2 linked regions of the Schizosaccharomyces pombe genome follow. The protein of the gene in region 2 binds, or shares a complex with, the protein of the main gene of each other region. Each region holds a gene or a part of one and is shown on either strand. Other genes may lie near its edges.

Region 1 (3,282 bases), on a different chromosome or scaffold from region 2:
ATGCAAATATTCAAAATAATAGTAAAAATTTCAAGAATTTAGCATTTTGCGTGCGTTTTAATGCAAGTGGATCCTTAGGCTTCTTTAGTATAAAAAAGAAAGAAAAAGAAAGAAATTCTTCTTACTTTAATACCATAGCAAACTTTTTATATTTAATTTTTTATTTGAATTTGTAACAAGACAAGCATTTTTGGGTAGTAGAGATAAATATAATCATATAGGTCTTTAAATGTAAAAAAGAACGAAAACTTCTATGAAAAACTTTTAGCGAATATTAATTTAAGTGAAACATTTTGTTCACCAATGTAACCCAATCACCCAAACATAATTAATGGCAATTACAAAAACCTGATAGTTTAATGCGAATAAACGTAATGAAGATTTAGCAGAGAGTTAATAAGTGTGATCAAATGGTTTTTGCTCTTTTTTAAGAGCATACTTGAAAGAAAAATATGAGATACAGAGTAAATCGTAAGGAAATTATCAAAAAAGCATCACATACATATCTATCCTTACAAACTCATCCCATAGAATTTGCAAAATAATAAATAAAAATGAAACGATACTAAAATAATTTAGACAGGTGCGATAATTTCCTTGGGATCACCAACACCATCAGAATTAATGGCAAATATGGCTTCGCTCTCAGGCAAACACGGACTATCGTAAATTTTACAAATGCGTTGCTCACCACGACCTTTCCGCAAAGAAAGTCGAGTGGTACTCGAATGGGCAAGAATATTACCACCAATTGGTTTTTTGGGATCAGGATTAAAGGAAATGCCATCCACTTGGGCGACCACCTGATTAGTAATGACAACAGCAATACCGAATTCATCTGCCAAGCGCTGTAGCGTCCGCATAAACCTTGCTAAATGCATTTGACGAGCAGAGAGCTCTCCACGACCAGAGAAATCTGTTCTATACAAGGCAGTACAACTATCGACAACTAACAATGAAAATCGGGATTCAGACATCATGTTTGCCGCTTGTTGGAGCAACTCTAGTTGATGGTCTGCATTGTAAGCACGAGCATATGCAACGTTATCCAAAACTTCCTCACCATTTAAGCCATATCGATCTGCAACAGCCAACAAACGAACAGGACGGAAAGTTCCTTCTGTATCGATATATAAGCATTTACCTTCACCACCACCCATATCGATAGGAAGCTGACAGGTTACCGCAAGTGTATGGCAGATTTGACTTTTACCGGTACGGAATTCACCAAATAATTCTGTAATGCTTCCAGTCTCAACGCCTCCTTGTAACAAAGTGTCTAGTTGTTTTGATCCAGTTGTAATCGTAATTAATTCACTTCTTCGAATATGGTACTCAGTGGCGGTGGTAAATCCCATAGGAACTAGTTTGCTTGCCTCGCCAAGTAACTTATCAGCCTTTGCTTCAGAAATTCCTTTAATCAAAAGTAGTTGTCGCTTAGGAGTATAAGCAATTGATTCCACCGTGTAGTATCCGGCTTCATGAATTTTTTTTATGTCGCTAGCAGTAATCCCATTGCCTTCCAACATTTGTAAGGGCATAGGACCGGCGGCGGCCTCATCTTCTTCATCTTGTACATTCACGTCGTATTCATAATTTGATTGTGCTTGTCCATTTTCATTATTATTCATATCTGCTGCACTAACTTGCATTTCCACCTCTGTATCTGCCATTATAACTTGTTAAGCACGAAATTATCACTATTCTGGAATTGAAAAGAGTTTTTTATATTATTAAAGAAAAGAAAGATTAGGTTTTTAAAAAATAAATCAAGGAAATAGTTTTGTTAGAGAAAGAATTGGTTTATGGCAAGAATTTTCTTGCTTAGTAGGGATTGTGAAGGAATTAAAACGCGTCCGACGCGTTTTCAATCAATTGTTACCTAGTACTAGCAAGGTAACACCTACTAAATAGACACACACATTAGGGTAGGGCTGTAAAAATAGTCACGAGATAGGGAACGAAACAAAACACAGTTTTTTAACACTTGCATTTACAACAAGAGAACAGCACTGGTCAAAATGTCTGCATCTGAACTTGCTACCAGTTATTCAGCTCTCATTTTGGCTGACGAGGGTATTGAAATCACCGTACGTTATATTTTACTAGAAAAGTTGTGAATGTACTTCTACCGATACTGGTAAAAGATCTTTTCCATAGCGTGTAGTCGTCTTATTCCTTCTTATTCGGTTTTTGTTAAATTAATTTATACTAATTGTTGCGTAGTCTGACAAGCTCTTGTCTTTAACCAAGGCTGCCAACGTCGATGTTGAACCCATTTGGGCTACCATTTTCGCTAAGGCTCTTGAGGGCAAGGACCTTAAGGAACTTTTATTAAACATTGGCTCTGGTGCTGGTGCTGCTCCTGTTGCTGGCGGTGCTGCTGCTCCCGCTGCCGCTGATGGCGAAGCTCCTGCTGAAGAGAAGGAGGAAGCCAAGGAAGAGGAGGAATCTGATGAAGATATGGGATTCGGTTTGTTTGACTAATTTCCCTAATCTGCTAGCATGAACTAGTTGATCCAACTCAAAAAATAACCATTTTTCTATATCTCACTTAATATCTTCTTGTGTTTTGAAATTAAAAATTTAGACCGAGTAATCTTTATGAAACCGCCTTTGATCTGCGCCAACTATTTGTATGGCCAATGTTGGTGATTTTCAGACATATGTGAAGTAATATTATCAGGTGTAAATTGATTCACAGTACGAACTGCATATTTTGATATTAAATTTTTCAAGTTAATCGGTAGGAGTGTTTTAGTACTAATATTTAATAATAAGCATTATAGCGCTATTTTGAAATTTTAATACATCTCGGCCTCGGAGTGTAGGAGTTTGTGGCCCTTTGTAATTAGGACCGTAGTTGGAAAATGAAGTGTAAGGTTTTTGGCTGATCTTTATACATTAAGCAGGTTTTTACAAGTTAGCGTTTGCAAAATGTAAGTATGAAAGGAGATATTATCATTTATTGTTCACAAATTTCTTGCTGAATGAATGAGTTCTTAGTTATTAGGCACTGTGTATGCGATGCTTTTATTAATTCTGGCTGAAGTATAAAATTATTTAGCTATCTCTTTAAAGTTGATATTACTTTTGGGATTGATTCCGAAAAATATTCGACACATCATTTGCCCATTTTTACTAACACCGTCCCAAGGAAGACGCGAGGGCTTCAGCTATCCTCTACCACATACAACATGAATCCATCATGTGTGGTTTATGGTAAGTTAAATTTTTGTTTAAAAGTAATTCTAATAAGTAGTGGGCAATATTCCTTATGAA
Region 2 (3,414 bases):
AAATTTTCTTCAAAGTTGTAAACACTAACGAATTTGATTTAAATTGGTATGTTGTGGTGGGTATATATGTATTAATAGAATTTACATACTTTGCGTATACAGTATGACGTCCTCAGTTGACATCATAATAGTTTAAGCACTGTACTGAAGATACTCATCATCTATAGTAGATTCCAGCAAGTTAGCGTAGAAATCCGTTTACTAAGTGGCATTACGATTCTTTATCGCTGTTTAAGGTGATACAATATTTTATTATGGTGAACAGAAAATGAATTACTTTTTCCTTTTTAAATATAGTGTTATGAATGATTTAATATTTAATGACCAAAAAATGATAGCCTATTACTACTTGCATGTTAAAGTGTTTCAAAAAGGACAGCTTTAACCATATTCGCTAAAGAAAACTAAAGAGGTTTATTATAAGCACAAACTATAGTGAACAGAAAGTATTTACGGCATTTGTGATAATATTTGCTAAATGGCCGCGTGTTTACTACCCGCAGTCAGGAATGGCAGAAAACATAAAAAGTTGAAAACTTGCTTTTATACTGAATTAAATAAAAAAACAAACTAAAAAGTTCGGGTTTCGACGGGGATTGAACCCGTGACCACTTCGACCCAAACGAAGTATGCTACCACTACACCACGAAACCACGTTACAACTCATAATACAAATAGATAATATTAATGGTTTTCTCCTTCCAAAGTAATTAAGTAAATATCATTGATTTTAAAAAAGAGCTAAATACCTAAAGAAATTAGCAATCAGAGTATGGAGAATTATCTACTTGCAACTACTAAGCTGACTGAATCTATGCCAAAAGAAGAACATGAAATTGCTTCAAATCAAATTGATAGAGGACATAACAATTACTTAATTTCGTAGAGTTAAAATAGTTAATGTGAGCTAAACATGCAAGTAACTTAAATAATCAAATATTATCATTGATTAATAATTACGTTCAATTTAGAAAGTGTTTGTGCATCGAAGCAAATATATTTGTTTTAGCAACATTCTGATCCCTTTAAATAGAAAATGTTATCTAAACGATCAAAAAAATATCCTAATCTCGTAATTGATAGAAATCTCTGCAAAGATTTCCTATTAAATCGAGATATGTTCCTTATTGCCTAAAATAAATTAAAATCAATCCTGTAGATGACTCGTGGTCTTAAAATGATACTTTTAGAAAAAAAAAAATAGGTAAATAAGTAACCTAACCAATTTTACGAGTTATCAGATACATAGATTTGAATAATCAATTATAAAAATATATTGATTAATTTACTTATGTGCTTAATATTTGAAATATGCTAGTATTTGCAACGTCTTCGTGTTCGCACTTTATATTTATTTTTGTTATCTTTTAAGCGCCCAATAGTAAAAGAAATTGTATTCCGATCAATTTTTGCAATTTTCGTGCAGCTTAAAAAAAAAATACTTCTTTGTCTACTCAAAAAGCATGAAAAGGTTTACAATAAATGAATACTGAAGGGTTCCATAAAGTATAATATTTTCAATGAAATATGGTTATATAATTCAATTATTATTTGCAGTAAAATTCAAATGCATCTTTTTCATATATCTAGTTTTATAAAACAATTAATTTTTAGAGAGTTAATGAACGTGTTCGATAAATGCAAAAGTAACACCTACCCTATTCCAAAATCTCACTATTATAAATAAATAATCTAGCAAATACTTATTTATATTGAATCATTTATACACCTCCGTTTATGGGTTTGCTACACAAATAAGGCGTACCTAGTGACTCTCGATAAACCTCCCTAAAACCTACCCTAGCTCAAAAAGGCAGTCACAAATTTACTACCAATTTTAGCAGTGATTATTGAAACGAACAAGCAGCGTTATATCAAAATGGTATGTATAATATGAATACCTGTTTGTTCTATTAAGCTAATGAGTGATTTAGGGAATTGATATCGAGAGACATCACGTTAAAAAGTCTCAACGCAGCAAGCCTGCTTCGGAGAACGTCTACTTAAAGCTTTTGGTTAAGCTTTACCGTTTTTTGGCCCGTCGTACAGATTCCCGCTTCAACAAGGCTATTTTGAAGCGTCTTTTTCAATCCAAGACTAACCGTCCTCCTATTTCTATCTCAAAGATCGCTGCTTTAACTAGCCGTAAGAGTGCTTCTTCTCAGAACAAAACCACCGTCGTTGTCGGAACCGTTACCGACGATGAGCGTATGTTGACTGTTCCTAAGCTTTCTATTGCCGCTCTTCGTTTTACTAAATCTGCTCGCGCTCGTATTTTGAAAGCTGGTGGTGAAGTTTTAACCCTCGATCAGCTTGCTCTACGTGCTCCCACTGGAAGCAACACTGTTCTTGTTCGTGGTAAGAAGCATGCTCGTGAGGCTTACCGTCACTTTGGCTTTGGTCCCCACAAGCATAAGGCTCCTTATGTTCGTTCTGAGGGCCGTAAGTTCGAGAGAGCTCGTGGTCGCAGAAAGTCTCGTGCATTCAAGGTTTAAATTACCTTGTTCAAGCTCGTTTCCTTTTCTCACACTTTATGGGATCAGCTCTTAGTTGCTTCTCATTTGGTTAGCGTTCATAAATTAGGTTACCGGTGCATTATTGATCCGGCTTTAGTGTACATCAATAGTGTTCGTTCCCAGATATGAATACAATGAAAATCTAATAGCTTAGTTGGTTAACATTATTCTCTTTCTAATTTTTTAATCGTAAACGTATATGTACTTGTAAGACGATGCTTTTATTGATTTAATATTGGTGTTAGCAGTTACTTTTTGTATTTCGCGCTGCAGGTCATTATTAATTTTTTTGTCGTCGGATTTCAATTTAGTGAGCACGAGTGATTTTTACTAAATTCGTTAGCCACACCGTGCTATTCGCTATTGGATTTCCATTCCTCCTTCCACTTACACCGAATTTTGGAGCAAAAAACGTCTTCTTAAGAAAAAAATGAGTCGCAGAAGCCTTCGTACCCTTTATGTGACAGGATTTCGAGATGGAATGCGTGCTCGTGAGCTTGCTTATGAATTTGAGCCGTAAGTTGTTTTTCATGCACTTTAAATAGCTAATTTATTCATTTAGTTTTGGGCCTTTAATACGTTGCGACATCCCAATCCCTAGAACTCGAACTTCAAGACCGTAAGTAAATGGCTTTCTAAGTAAAGATTTTAACCGTCTTATTGGATAGTTTTGCATTCGTTGAGTACGAAGATTCCCGTGATGCTGAAGATGCGTATTATGAAGTGCACGGACGTCGTCTCGAAAGAGGTGGCGGTGTTCTTCGTGTAGAATGGGCCAAGCAACCACCTCCGTCAGGCCCTGGCTCCAAACGTGGTGGAAGACGCGAACGAGGAGGTCGTGTTCACGGAGATTCTGGACGGCTACGTTCAAGGTCACCTAGTCCGCACGAAGCCCGAT

What was found. Proteins that work in one complex are often made in the same cells at the same time.
Region 1: rpl1801 (region 2) and rpp101 share a complex: the UniProt entries of both Schizosaccharomyces pombe proteins name them as parts of the large ribosomal subunit.

Annotation. Positions count from the first base shown.
Region 1 is NC_003424.3:2,698,432-2,701,713, forward strand, and holds rpp101 (ribosomal protein P1), read left to right. Parts: upstream 1-2,000; 5' UTR 2,001-2,021; coding exon 2,022-2,090; intron 2,091-2,226; coding exon 2,227-2,487; 3' UTR 2,488-2,782; downstream 2,783-3,282. Other genes in the region: rad51 (RecA family recombinase Rad51/Rhp51), read right to left, coding at 576-1,673; rna15 (RNA-binding protein), read left to right, coding at 3,198-3,222, 3,263-3,282. UniProt on the Schizosaccharomyces pombe protein: Component of the ribosome, a large ribonucleoprotein complex responsible for the synthesis of proteins in the cell.
Region 2 is NC_003423.3:3,359,938-3,363,351, forward strand, and holds rpl1801 (60S ribosomal protein L18), read left to right. Parts: upstream 1-1,860; 5' UTR 1,861-1,879; coding exon 1,880-1,882; exon of another isoform or gene 1,883-1,934; coding exon 1,935-2,495; 3' UTR 2,496-2,695; downstream 2,696-3,414. Other genes in the region: pre-mRNA-splicing factor srp1, read left to right, coding at 2,947-3,032, 3,079-3,135, 3,185-3,414. UniProt on the Schizosaccharomyces pombe protein: Component of the ribosome, a large ribonucleoprotein complex responsible for the synthesis of proteins in the cell.